Linked DNA regions of Caenorhabditis elegans. The protein of the gene in region 2 purifies or fractionates together with the protein of the main gene of each other region. This does not show direct contact. Each region holds a gene or a part of one and is shown on either strand. Other genes may lie near its edges. The genes, in order: Y49E10.18, F25D1.5 and scl-2.

Region 1 (4,938 bases), on a different chromosome or scaffold from region 2:
ACGTGGAACGATAACAGTATCCCAGTTGTCAGTGAACATGGCTCGTGATTATGTGTCAGCTAATATTGCGTCAAGCAAGAAATCCGATGAAGTCTTCTATTTCGCGGCGATTCTCCGCTACGGCGAGCAAGTCGACGTGTCGAAAATGGTGACAAGCGACGGTGGTCTGAATCGTCGTGGTGTTCTCGAGTTTCCCGTACCACTGATGTTGACCGGGATTCCACCGGATTTCCGAGCAACTGTCGAGATTTATGGACAACGATCGATGCGAGAATCGACGTCGCACGAGGATAAGTACAAGTTGAAGAATTCGACGTTTAAGGCGAAGGTTTGTTTGTTTTTTTCCGAAATATTTGTCATATTTTACATACTCGTCCGTTGAAAATTCGAAATGTCTGCTGCTATAGAATATCGACAAATGGTGTTGTTATGATGTTGTTGATGAGTGTGAGCATGAATCGAGAATGACAGCTGCTGAAAACTTAGCAAGTGAGGAGAAGAAGAGAGTGCCCCTACCCTGTAGATTGTGGAGAAGATTGCATGATGTATGTCTGTTTGTTTGTTTGTTTGTTATTGTCAAATGTCTTGTTCTTCTGTTTTCTGTTAATAATGTATCATAACTTCATCTTCTTCACGTTCCGGCAAGTGGTACATCCATGCAAATGCGCTCTACTGATAATTTGAGTGTAGACCAGGTTTGGGCGCGTGATAACGAAAAAAGCTTTGGTCCAAAAAATGTAGAATTTAATATCGGGCATTTTTTATATGCATCACAAAAAAACTGGACAACTGTTTTTGAGATACACGCGCCCAAACGTCCAGGTATACGGTAGACAAATTGCGTACAGGTACCACTTCTCGGGCCGTGTTCTTAAAGCCGCACAGATTTATTCATATGGGTCTCGGCGCGCCGTTGTTTTAAGCGAATTTTTCGCTACATACTCGCAAGCAATTTGATTGCAAAATGGAAAATAAATGAGGTTATCATGCGCTCCGAGACCCTTCTGAATAAACCCGTGCGCCTTTAATTAGACGTGTATATCAATAGAACCTGGAAATAAGTAATATTTCTAGACTCGTAACACATTCCTGGGCGGCGGATCAACTTCATCAGCAAACCAGAGCCTATTCGTCGATCCAGCAGCATCGTCATCATCAACTTCGTCGACCACATCCAACTTCAATTTGCTCGGAACATTCTCGTTCGACATCAATTGCCCTGGAAAACATTTGTACAACATGTCACATACTGTATATCCGCTCGAAGGTATTACACAGATGAAAGTACGCAAACAGGCGATCGATGGAGCTGATATCACTTATCACGGATTCTTGTCAATGTATCAGAGAACTGGCGAGGGGCTCGGATCGTGGACGAGATACTGGTGTGCTCTTGAGAATGGAGAGATGAAGTTTTGGAAGCAGCCAGAAGATGAGGGAACTAAGGTTTTTAAATTTTTATTTTTTTTGTCTAAAATTAAACTTTTTTTATTGTAGGGTTACACTGCACTAATGGATCTTTCAACGTGTTGCCGTTCCGAAGGTGCATCGGTAGTTGAAGACATTTGCCCATTCCCGAATAGCTTCCACATTGATGTTTGGGCTCCAAAAATGGATACATCGGATCCACGTGGCATTGAGCGTCTTCGAGTTATGCTGGCGGCCGATACAGCTCAAGATCTTCAAACATGGCTGTCACTGATCAATTCTACGTCGAAGCAGTTGTGCACGTGGAGAAATCCGATTGTTAATCAGTAGTCCCCCCCTTTTTTGCAAGCTTTGTGCCTGTATGTATCCCCCAGTTTTTCCCCTCAGATTTTTTTTGACAAATAATCAAATGTTTTATTATTATTCTCGTTACTTCTCTCTCTCTCTCCATGTTTAGCTTCCTTCTTTTCTAGAATTTACTCCCTTCTTTTTTAATCAATACATCACTGTCCCATTATCATTATTCCACTCTTTTTGGGCCTTTTTCGATTTATTCGAAAATTTTAGTTTCACAGTGCCCCTCACCATCGTACACTCTTACAATTAATTTTCGGTTTTTTTTTTGTTAAAATAAACATTTGGTGAAAGTGTGAGAAAACAGTGGTTCCGAATAGAATGAAGAAGACGGAAAGAAAAGGAAATATTCAAGTTAAAAATAACTTTAAATCGAACTAGATATGCCATGTAATTACAGATAAAAAGTTCAACTTTTTTTGCGAAAAATGTTAAACTGTGCTCAATTTTTTGCTCCTTTCAACTGATAAGCTTTCACATGTGCGCCGCCCAGCGGAATTTATATAAAATTCGGGTTTCTTATCAGTTTTCCTATTTCTTTAGGAATCGATGCATTTTCTAGTCTATTTTTCGATATTCTTCACGATTTTAGGCGCTCAGCTTGTGGAGTCAAGCAAGTGCTCCGATTGTATTGCTTCGGGGAAACAGTGAGTGTTTAAAATCGAAATGCAAATGCGCTCCACCGCCAAAAGTTGGGTCTCGTTAGGTCTTTGGAGACAAAACCGGGAATTTCAATTTTTAAGTGGTATTCGAATGATTCAATAGATTCAAATACCTACCGAGACCCAAGTTTTGCCCGTGGAGCGCGCTTGAACCTCAATTTTAAATAATTCTTTTTTTTTTGCCCACCATAATAGCATAAAACATAAGCGGAAAAGTGAGGCAAATTTGTAAGAAGGTGTAGGCACAAAATGGCTTGCCCGGCATGTAACAATTTTTTCGAATTTCAGCTGGTGTGTAACAGTTAACGAATGCGGATTCTCCCCATGTTTAACATCAATTTCTGTAAGTTATCTTATCAATCACAATTTCACGTGGTGCCAGAAAGCCCCATTTTGATTTGATCTCCGAAAAGTGCGGGAGAAGAGACGCAGAGTTTTCAACTGATTTCGCATTGTTAAGAACGTGCTGACGTCACATTTTTTTGGGCGAAAAACCCCGCATTTTTTGTATAACAAATCGTAATGGGACAAGTTATCTTATCAATCACGATTTGATAAACTGATTTTTTGTAAACTCTACAAATATAAACGTTTCCAGAAAGCACTAAACTGCCCGGAACTACCTGATAAAGCACACGCGTATGATGATACATTTGTGAGAACAAAAATTTTATTGACAACTGCTGCCGCATTCAATAATAATCCACAGAAATGTTTCAAGTGAGAAAAATTTTGACACGGGGTTCTGGCCTTACTCATTGAATTTTTCGCGCTCCGTTGACAATCACCAGCCGAACTCCATATGGACCAATAGATTCAGTTTTACAACTAGAAACGCGACGCGACGCGACACGCAACGCGCCGTAAATCTACCCCAGATATGGCCGAGCCTAGTTCGGCAAACTCTTCCATTTCAATTTATGAGGGAAGCCAGAAATCCGTGTTTTGAAAAAATAACATTTTTTTAAACACTACCAACGGCGTTTTTTTTCCAGAAACTCAATGCCAACAATGACACTATCCAAAACTTTTAGTGTAAATTGCTCAGAAGTTGGGCCACAAACCGATTGTTTCGGTTTCACATCATTCGATACAACACAAAAAGTCGTTGTCATGTCGTTTCGGGGAACTCAAGGAGCCACACAGTTGACTGAAGAGATTTTGGACTTTTTTACGTGAGATTGAATTTATTACGGGAACACGGAATTCTGCGTATTGCACAACATATTTGACGCGCAAAATATCTCGTAGCGAAAAGAAAACTACAGTAATCCTTTAAATGACTACTGTAGCGCTTGTTTCGATTTACAGCGAAGTGCCATTCTCATTCGTTTCTTCGTATTATTTTCTCACTTTTTGCCTAATTTTAATATTCAATCGATAAATAAATGATTTTAATTCTTTTGTGCCCGTAAATCGACACATGCGCTACAGTACTCATTTAAAGGATTACTGTAGTTTTCGGTACGAGATATTTTGCGCGTCAAATATGTTGTGCAATACGCATTTTCAGAATTTGTCGAAAAATTTTAAAATTTCGAGTAAAAATGGTTAAATCCAGCTGTTTTTAAGATTTTTGCGCCAAAACCCAATACACGGTCTCGACGCGACAATTTTTTGTAAAATGCTAAAATGTGTGCGCCTTTAAAAAGTACCGTAGTTCAAAATTTCAAAATTTTTATCGATTTTTCGTAGATTTTCGTCCGTTTCTTTGAAATTTTCTGAGTTTTATAGAAAAAAAATATGAAAAATCGGTTTTTTCATAAATTTTTTCATATTAAAATTTTTCAAACATTTTTCATACAAAAAAAAATTCTGTAAAAAAAACCAAAAAAAAATCTTAAAATCAATAAAAAAAACCAATCAGCGATTTGCTCCGCCCACATTCGGACCAATCAGAGCAAGTGGGCAGAGTTCAAAGATGCTGATTGGTCGGGGAATTTAGAATTTAGCTAAAATTTTAAAAAATCGTGTTTTTCCCTTTGTGAATTTGTTGAAGTTTTGCAGGGGTAAAAAGCCATTTTTCAATGATGCCGGACACATTTTCACCTACTTCTACGATGCATTCTTTTTCCTCTGGAATGGAGGTCTTCAACAAGAAATTCGTCGACTAAAATACCAATATCCAGAGTATGAATTATGGGTTACTGGGCACTCACTTGGTGGAGCAATTGCATCGATTGCAGCTTCTTATGTTGTCCATTCAGGACTTTATACTGGTGATCAAGTGAAACTTGTTACGATGGGACAACCGCGAACCGGCGATTATGATTATGCTGTTTGGCATGATAAGACTTTTCCGTATTCATTCCGAATTGTTCATCATAGGGATATTGTTCCACACATTCCTCCGCAATATGGAAAGGATGAGCTTTTCCATCACAGAACAGAAGTTTGGTTAGTTTTTTTTCTTCAAATTCACGAAGTTCCGGCCTTCCTCACTGCATTTTTCGCGCTCCATTGACAAGCTGGACAACGCGTGGGAAAGTCGTGT
Region 2 (4,881 bases):
ATTTTCAAGAATCGCTACACTCCACTTATTGAAGCATCTAACGTCCATACAAAAACAAATCCAAATTCGGAATCATTTAAACTTTACACAGAAGCCATGAAGAAAGTGTTGGCTAAACTGCAAATATTAAAAACAAGAGTTCGAATGAGTGAATGGAAAGATTTTAAAATTGATTTAAAAGAATTTGAATCATCGTATCGAGAAATAGCAAAAGACCATGTGGAAATTGAAGAAATGCTAAAATTAAGAAAAACTATGGTTACGGATATTCCAGCATTGGCGAATGAATTATCAGAAACCTTTTTGGCAGCAACAGAAAGTAGAAGAAAGTTTGCAGTATTGACAGGAATTGCTGCAGATGAAAGTTTCAGTGATAAATTTTCAAATTTCTCGAAATGTTTGGATGAACTTCACGAAAAAGCGCCAAATTTAAAGGCAAGAATAATTACTGACTTTGAAATATTCAAAATACCTAAAAATTACATTTATTTGTTTGTTTGTTTATTCGAAATTTGATAAATAGTAACAAAATGTAATACATAGAAGATCAACGGGGAAAATCGAATAATACATAAAATAAGAAAATATTTCAAAGTTTAAAAATCAAGATCTGATTTTAATTTCTATATTTTAAAGAAAACTCGATTCATCCGTGGCGAATGGCTTTCAAGACTTCGAAACCAAGTTTTGATGGCCCAGTCATATTCTCCAACTCCTCAATATGATGTGTAAGTCTTTTAAGCGTAATCTGAGTTGTGAGTAGGGTGAGCTCAGTGATGGCAAACGACGCCGCCGTGACGTCTTGTTCTAATTGAGTGTATGCGTGCAAATAAACATTAAACTTGGTACTTTCAACGGAACAAACTTTTTTCAGAGTAAATCTTCTTCACATCAAGTTCTATTTTGCACACTTTAAACAAGAGACTATTCTTCAAGAAAGATCCTACAACTTATTTTTACTTCTTGGTGAGTTTTACTCGATGTGCTTGTAACTTTGAAAGTTTTCAGCCGAAATTGGAGGAACCATTGGATTATATGTTGGAGCAACACTTCTAACTGCAGCAGAAACTCTTGTTTTTCTTTGTGAACGAAAGAAAAGTAATATATTCCTAAAACCACAATTTATATAAAAGTATTCAATGTATTTTATTGTGTATTTTACGACTATTACATTAGATAACAATGGTTAACAAAATCTGAAAAAAAAAGTTATAGTTTACTGACTAAGAACGGACATAAGATCATGTGTTTGCATTCCCATAACAAGAGTTGATCCTCCATCAGCAACAATCGATTGTCCAATAATGTAAGATGAGAGGTTTCTATCAGCCAGGAATACAATGATATTGGCAATTTCTTCTGGCTTTCCACAATGCCCAACAGGAATGCATTCTTTCCGTGAGCCAATAAAACTGTAAAGCTTGTCAGATGCAGTTTCTGGTAAACCCATCGCTCCCATGAAACCAGTGGCAACTGCTCCAGGGCTGACAGAATTTACGCGGACACCATGTTGAATAAGATCGATTGCAGTGCATCTGGTGTATTGGTCAAGCGCAGCTTTTGCGCAAGCATAATATGGATATCCAGAGTGCTGAAAATTAAAACAAAAGTTCTGAAATCCTCTCTCCCGAAGCTTACTGCTTGTGGGCCAGCAACGATACTGGAAACATTTACAATCTCTCCTTTTGTCTTTATCAAATGTTCCTTTGTTTTCTGAGTCATTTCGATCACAGCTTGGAAGTTTAACTTGAATGTTTTCTGATACAACTCCACTGGTTGATCCGTATTAGCTGTTCCGTCAGCTAAATTGGCACCAGCATTATTAACCTAAAACAATTGAGTATATTTCATTTTCTATCTATGTACATACCAAGATATCAATTTTTCCGAATTTAGCAAGAGTCGTGTTGATGATATCATCTTGTCCTGATGCTTCGGTAACATCAGCAACCACGGCATTAATCTTCTCAGCTGGAACTCCTGCTTTCAATATTTGCTGTTTGGTTTCTTCTAGGCGATCTTCATTTCTTCCAGTAATTGTAACTTGAGCTCCTTCCTTTGCAAAAATCACAGCAGCCGATCTTCCGATTCCATTAGAAGAACCAGTTATAATGACAGACTTTCCAGAAAAGCGAGCCATTATTTTGAGATTACAAAAATAAAATGTCAATCAGATGAATGTGATGTTTAAATGCAGTTTAATGTTTTCTTTTTATACTCATTGCAGTTAAAATTATTTCATGGTTGAATGGAAGTTTGTAGTTTCCGTGACTAAAATATGAAATATCTGTTTACGTAGAGAGTATTTTCAAAGTTACTTCCCGAAGAGACCATAGACAGTGTAACAATTTTTGTGACTGTTAATTCCTCTGCGTCTCTTTGAATTGTGTCTATTTTTGTGCAAGCACAGTTGAGGGAAGATCAATTGATCAAGTTTTCAATATGAAAACACAACTATGATTTCAGGAATTTTAAAATTTTATTTGCTTAAAAAAAAAATAATTTCCGTGTCCAATAGTCTTGCACCCATCTCTCCATCTTTAGCTGCTTATTTTTCGGTTGTTTTTTTAATTTTGTCAGACATTCGCCAACTAGCAAAATATAAACAATAAGCTTTTTCTTAGGGCTTTAATAACACATTTCTAGTATCGTTAAAACGTAGTGCGACACTAGACGTCAAAATGAATTAATTTGGTGAGGAAATACGGTGAATAGTCTCTCTAGATCCAAAAACTTGTTTAACAATAATTGTTTGAGAGCTTTGGCACTTTATTTTAAAGTGTAATGTTGAACTGTAAATATTTTTTCATCGTTATTTTTATTTGCAGATCTTCGAACAATGTTTTTCATTTGTCGGTATTTTTTATTACTGTTATAAAAGTGCTTGTGTAATATCTTTGAACAATGTTATTTTATTCAATTGAGCAAAGTTCCGATTACTACTCCGATTAGTCCACCACTATCATTACCAATTATTCAAAATGCTCAAAAAATGGAAACAGCCGAAATATTGTTACGTCTAACAATTGCAGGTGAAACTTTTTTGCCACAAAACGTATCCTTGAAAAACGCAATAAAGGCTTTTTGGTACGGTGTGATGGTGACAATAACAATGAACGCATCAATAGCTGTTGGAAGAGAAAGCATCATATATAGAACTTTTTCAAAATTTGAGAGAAACGGCAAGTCTGAAAATTGTCACATATTATTTTACTGTAAAAACGGACAGGAGCCTACCATAATTCTCAAGTATTAAGTGAGCTATGTATATAGGAATCACACAAACTGCAGGGACAAGTGTCTGAATCGTCAAAGCAAGATCAAACTTCTTGGCTTGAGCAGCAGTTTTATCAGTAAATAAATGTTTTAAACTGTTGAGTTTAATTTGTATTAGTCTGGAAACACATTGGTAAGTATTTCTTCGAAACTCAAATTTATTACCTAATAAACACAATACTCATGATTGGTGGGACGAAAATGCTTATCATATTCAAATTTGTTGCTAACCAGCTCCAAAAATGTTTTTGATATCCAGTGATATCCGCATAGTACCGGAAATCATATTGTGTTGAATGAAACTTCCTGGTCTCTGAAGCAACCTCAAGAGATTCGTCTGGTTCGTACGTTATCACATAGATCACCTAGAAACATTCATATTTCCATTCTAGATCAATCACGAAAAGCAAAACTCACCCCCACAATTAAAGATAGAAGGTAAGAGCTTAAAAGAATCATTCTGATTTGATTTTTAGTTATGTTTTTCATATTAATATTTGTTACTTTTGTATATTTGTAAAACAATGTAGCAGGAATTGCAAAGGACGAGGCATCAAAGACTAACTGAATTTTGAATATTTGTAAAAAATAACAATTACAGGACACTTACCTGGAAAAAATCAAAACTGAAAAAGCAAGCATTTTTATGAGTGTGTCTACAAAACCCGCTAAAAAGATATGCTGACGATTCTGGATTGTTCACAGGTCTGAAGGAACAGTGTTAGCTAAAAATTAATATTATCGTACAACTAACCTGACTTGTGTGAAGACAACTATTATGCACATGAAAAACTGTAAAGTTGAAGAATTGACAAGAAAGACACGAAAATCTTTGAATACTACGGGCGTTTTAAAAACAACTAAAAGCACGACGGAAGTTTGACTGAACATGGTAAAACCAAAATAAACCCAAAAATAAATTGGAAATATGACAGTGTCGTAAAAGGTCTGAAATTAAAGTAACTGGCAATTACTTAAATGATAATCACAGATATTTTTCATATATGACAGGCAATGAAAGATTGGCATTTTAGTATATTTTTAAAAGTTTATTTTAAAAAGCAATCTTCCAATTGATTTTTCCTCATAAATACCTAACTAGGAGACTCACCATTGGTGGAAAAAGAAAAATTACTCACATTTGCTTCCATTGTCATAATACTAGAGTTGGCATTCTCATTGGATACATCCATGTGGTAGAAATTCTGAAATTCGTAATAAGAATATTTTTGTGAAAAATATCCAAGAAGTAACGAGGATGTTTACAATCTGGTAGATTTTTCTCGATTCGGGGAAATATATACTCCCTGTGGTAATATATTACCTAATTGTTATTCCTGTATGATGGTTTAAATCAGAACTACGTTCGGTTAAAACTAATTTGAATTCAAATCAAGATCTTTTTGTTTGTTGAAAAGTAGAGTAAAGTTTGAGTAATTTCACACAAAACGAAACATCTAATTATTCGATGATTGCACGCAGGAGCTTGTAAAGTTCTGTTGCTATGACAGAAAAATTTTGTCGGTATCAAAAAATGATTTCTTTTTTTTCGAGTTCTAGATAATGCATCACTTGCGTATGGAAAATATGAGACTGCCAATAAAA
Region 3 (4,938 bases), on a different chromosome or scaffold from region 2:
TACCAATCTGAAGGGTAACCAAAACGAGAAGAGTAAAGGTGTGCATGTTGTCTGTTGAAAATACAACTAGTAGGTTGGATATTTATAGGAGATTTTAGTTTGTATGAACAACTGGATGTCGTCGTCGCCGTGAGGGAAACTAAAAGTCATGGGAAGAGGGAAAAAACTAAAGAACGTGTGCTTTAATAGAAATAGACTAAATTGGTAAGAGTTTTATGTTGACATTGTTTGTTTTATATACAAAAGGGAGGCTGAAGTTGGATTTCATTTTTTGAAATTTCACACAGTAGATAGTAACAATACAGACATACGGTAATTTTTTGAAATTCATGGAAGTCAGAAACGGAAAAATAAAAACGTTTTCAAGCTGTTAACTTTCAACTAAATCACCAACATCTTTGAAAATACATACAAGATATCGTAGTCAAAAAACCTATAGCTTGAACTTTTTTCATAACTTAGATACATCTCTAGACACAAGTAGTCTTTGACCTCCCAATAAAGTTCTAACTGCTCATTATACTCCAAATCTGCCAATAGGATTTCGAACACGTAATCGTCGCATTTGTTACATAGGCATTTTGATCAAAGGTTGTTTGTGTTCTGGTTTTCAACTAGCACACAATTTTATTTATTATCTACAGAAAGTTTGAAAACACATTGCATTATTAAAGTTTAGACGCAGAGCCCTGTGGAAGTCTCACATGACGTTCCTGATGGACAGCCGGAACAGGTTGCTCCCGATACGTAGATGTATTGATTAATGAAGTTTCCTCTGAAAATTGATGTATTAGCAAACAGTAGCTTGTATTCAACAGGGCTCTCTCGCACATACACTTTTCAATTTTTTTTTATGTTAAAAATTTTGTCTCGGTTGAAATTAATTTTCCTAAAACTACTTTTTACTCTTCAGAAAAATCCTAACTCACAAAGTGTTCAAGACTACTTTACCAGTTGTCGAAGCACAGTTCACTTTTCGCCAACAACAATATTTTTCGTATTTTTGTATAATTTTTATTGGGTTTTTTGTTTTTAATGATCTCCTCAAAATGATCAAAATTTGTTGAAAATTGCCTAATTTTTTGGATTTTGTTTCAGGGAACGTGACCAAAAATTTATCTTTTTTGCAAACCTATCCTAGAGAACAACACAAAACACAACATTCGCAGACACAGTCAACATAGACTAGTCAACAAATCTCACTTACTGCGGCTTGTACTGGCACACGACGGTTACTTTGTTCAGGCCGTTTGAGTCTCTTCCACAATCCTTGACTCCACATCCGATCAGGTTGGATTTCGCCCACGCCATTTGAGTCGCGTGTCCGATTCCTGTGTTGAAGAGATCGATAGTCATAAGGTTAGACTTCCATCCGTAATCTTGGAATTCTTTTTCCCATGATGCCGACGCAGCAGATCCCTGAATGAAAAGATTGATTATAGAAATTTCAGAAACTTTTAAAATAAAGAAGGTATCAAGCGCCTGCCTCCTGCCTACTGCCAATATTCGCATGTTGTATTTAGGCAAAATTTGAACAAAATAGGCAGTAGGTCTAGGCAGGCAGGCACAAGGTAGACTAAATGACTGACATATTGATTGAGGTCTCCCAGAGATCCACTTGTCCAATACCAATACAAATTCTCCCCAAGGCCTGCATCTCCAGAGTGTCCCGTCGGACACCCGTTTGCGTAGTTTTGGGCGGATGCGGCGACTGCGGAATCCCATTTCTGAAAAGTTGAAATCAAAAATAAATCTGAGAACCTTAGTTATGTACATACCATTTTCAACAGATTTGTTCCCGGCGATTTCTGAGTTCCTTTTGCCACGTAGGTACCTTTTGCAATTTTAGACCGCAGAGTGTTATGTGCATTGATAATTCCGTTTTGTCCGGAAGAGCCGAAATCAGCGGAGCAGCCAACAGCAAGCGCCACAACCAGCAACAAGTAATTCATAATTGGAGAAAAAAGTGCAAGTCAACACGAATATGTTTATCACTGCGGTTCATTTTATAGGAGTCTTATCACGCGAAAACCTGTAAAATTGTATGATAATTGAGAAATCGTAAGCTACGTATGATCGGAAGTGGGCAGCACAAGACCAAAGAATTGACTTTTATCAGTAATTATGAACATTTGAGTCAAGTCAACAAGTATTCTGATTAGGAAGAAGTGAATTTTCTTCCTAATTTTGTTGTTGGCACATAGGCAAGTAGAATGTTTTACTTTTGCCTGCACTTGATGTTGTGTGCATTTTCGTAAATTTTAAAAAAGTTTGGTGTAATTTAAAGTTTTCGCTTTATTTTTTTTATATAATCACCAAGAAAAAACAAATGCTTCATTAGTAAATTAATTCCCAGATTAAAACAAAACAAATAAATTAAAAAATTACAGACACAAAAAGTGAAATCTCTCATTATCCGCAAAGCCCAGAAGCAGTGTCACATTTAGTAGATCCGGAACAGCTGGAACACGTAGTTCCTTCCTTATAAATCGGCCGTCCCATAGTGTTTCCTCTGAATATTTTTGAACAATTTTGAGTTAAAAAAAATCAAAAACTTCAGTGCTTACGGTGGACTATACTGGCAGACTACAGCTATTTTGTTCATATTTCTCATCGATGCGTCTCGTCCACAATTCTTGACTCCACACCCGATGGAGCTGGTGTTTGCCCAAGCCATTTGAGTAGCGTGTCCTATTCCACTGTTGAATAGGGTGGTATCCATTGCGTTAGACTTCCAGCCAAAGTCTTGGAATTCCTTTTCCCATGCGGCAGCGGCGATTTCTCCCTGGAAAGAATTATTGATTTCTGTCCCAGAAAAGTTATGCGACTCACATAGGAATCCAAGGATCCAACATCCGCAGAAGTCCAAGACCAATACAAATTTTCCCCATATCCAGTTCCCTTTGAGTGTCCAGTTGGGCACGTATTCGCATAATTCTGAGCCGACGCAGCTACGGTGGAATCCACGACCTGAAAAGTTTATTGAAGTATCATCATTGGGCTTTTTGTTCAAATATGATTGCCAAAAGTTACCCCAACTTGAATGACTTGAAACTCTTGAAAAAAGAAAACTTTAAGTTTTTTATTTGACATAATTGGGCAATTTAAAACCTACCATTTTCCTCATATCAGTTGCTGGTTCTTTTTTGGTTCCCTTCGCAACATAGGTACTCTTTGCAATAGCGGATCTCAATTTGTTATGAGCATCCACAATGCTTGATTGACCAGTTGAAGTGAATTGAGCATTGACACCAATTGCTAGGAGGCAGAGAATGAAGTACATGGCAAACAAAATTATGATTTAAAGTTGCAAACGTGCTGCTTTTTATGAGAGGAGTTTTTTAATCAAGTACGAGATTTTCAAATAACTTTTAATATTTGCAAAACGTAAACAACAACAATCTTTATTTTTGTCCATTGTAGAGAAAACTCATAAATGATCCAAACGATTTGGTCAATAACAACAACAAATTGAGCTTTTTACGGATATCAAAAAGATCAGCCGGACTGAAAATATTATGCTATCGGGCTTCAAACCCACACACTTTTCGACTCGGCAAATTTGGTAAATTTGCCGCCCACCCCTGGTTTGTACTCGAATAATTACTAGAGAATCAAGCAAAAAACTGGAACAAAACTTTATTAACAAAACTTTATACTTTGACAAAAAATATAGTAAGTACTGATTTCCTCATTAATATTAATAATTATAATAAACTAAATCGTAATTTATCTGTAATTTTAAATTTAACTTATTCAATATTCGCCGACTGGATTCTTACTTCAATCCAGGATTTACACTTGAGGACTTCAAATTGATGAAGTGTGAAGAACTGACAATATGGAACCATAGCTTTACTCCAGAATACTTGAATCATTTTATCCGTAATTGATTAAACGGAAACATGAAAGAATTGAGAAGATTCCACTTGGACCATGATTTCAAAATAAGAGATTGGGTAGTGGTGTTGAATGAAATAGTAGTTAGTCGATGGGACGAAGTACGCCGAGAAAAAGTATACAGGTATTAGTGGTAAAAAGGAAAAATGATTGTTCTTTGGCAAAAAAATTATTTATTTATTTATTTATTTCAAACAATGTGTAGGTCTGGCAACAAGTGAATAAATTTCTAATTTACTTAAAAATCTGTAGGGATGCTAAACTGACATAGGAAATACGGTATCAATTTCCAATTTCAGAATCGGTTTTCAAGAATTTGATTGTTCCGATGGTTGGGATATCGAAAGGGAAGATGGAACTATTGCTACTGTAGTTTTTGTGAAATCATCATTTGATTTTTTTGTTTGGTCTAAATGATTGGAGTCAGAAACAATTATACCGCACGTTTGAAAACGCTTGCATTGTTATTATCTTTCAAATAAAATATTTATTCATTTTAGTCATTCATTTTGTACTGAATTTTGTCAAAAAAAACCTGAAAATTCAAAAAATTCAAAATTTTTCTTACACTTTTCTTGCAAAAAATATTGGAAATTATACACAAACTATTAATTTCAGTCTAAATCTTTCCAAGAGAAAGCCCCTCTCCGCCCTTGCTTTTGCCGTTCGAGTGCGACGGCGACGACGACGACGATGTTTTCAAATGTTTGACTGGCATTGAACCCGACTTTTTTCTTTCCAAATTAGGAATATCATCTCCACGAGTGATTTCATCAGCTGAATTTGCATGAAGAAGTTTCTTATGACGAAAACGCCCAATATTCAGTTTTCCATCTGTCTCGACTCTCAATGTGGCGCCGTGATTCTGAAAATGCCATTTTACAGTTTCAGATGTGGTTTAACATCAGCAGACATACATCGGTTTCATTCATGTAACGCGGAGCCGAGAATATCGTGAGAAGTTTCTGATCAGCAAAGAACTTGAATCCTTCAGGAATCATCTAAAAATTGAATCGAGAGCAATTAATTATTTGTCTT

Evidence for each region.
Region 1: the proteins of F25D1.5 (region 2) and Y49E10.18 fractionate together in Caenorhabditis elegans (co-fractionation; one large-scale study listed by BioGRID). This does not show direct contact.
Region 3: the proteins of F25D1.5 (region 2) and scl-2 fractionate together in Caenorhabditis elegans (co-fractionation; one large-scale study listed by BioGRID). This does not show direct contact.

What each region holds. Positions count from the first base shown.
Region 1 is NC_003281.10:12,443,495-12,448,432, reverse strand, and holds the start of Y49E10.18 (Fungal lipase-type domain-containing protein), read left to right. Parts: upstream 1-2,326; 5' UTR 2,327-2,331; coding exon 2,332-2,429; intron 2,430-2,732; coding exon 2,733-2,787; intron 2,788-3,042; coding exon 3,043-3,164; intron 3,165-3,439; coding exon 3,440-3,619; intron 3,620-4,451; coding exon 4,452-4,841; intron 4,842-4,938. Other genes in the region: ani-1 (Anillin-like protein 1), read left to right, coding at 1-328, 1,075-1,446, 1,498-1,758.
Region 2 is NC_003283.11:10,544,613-10,549,493, forward strand, and holds F25D1.5 (DeHydrogenases, Short chain), read right to left. Parts: upstream 2,172-4,881; 5' UTR 2,141-2,171; coding exon 1,871-2,140; intron 1,828-1,870; coding exon 1,639-1,827; intron 1,592-1,638; coding exon 1,217-1,591; 3' UTR 1,131-1,216; downstream 1-1,130. Other genes in the region: degt-1 (Acid-sensing ion channel 1), read left to right, coding at 1-435, 637-728, 875-966, 1,009-1,130; srd-34 (Serpentine receptor class delta-34), read right to left, coding at 2,986-3,188, 3,238-3,395, 3,442-3,641, 3,694-3,840, 3,887-3,983, 4,031-4,068, 4,416-4,469.
Region 3 is NC_003282.8:13,054,736-13,059,673, reverse strand, and holds scl-2 (SCP domain-containing protein), read right to left. Parts: upstream 1,965-4,938; 5' UTR 1,953-1,964; coding exon 1,779-1,952; intron 1,728-1,778; coding exon 1,590-1,727; intron 1,420-1,589; coding exon 1,208-1,419; intron 776-1,207; coding exon 676-775; 3' UTR 612-675; downstream 1-611. Other genes in the region: scl-3 (SCP domain-containing protein), read right to left, coding at 4-46; scl-1 (SCP domain-containing protein), read right to left, coding at 2,413-2,512, 2,568-2,785, 2,833-2,970, 3,116-3,283; F49E11.7 (Serine/threonine-protein phosphatase), read right to left, coding at 4,520-4,765, 4,818-4,901.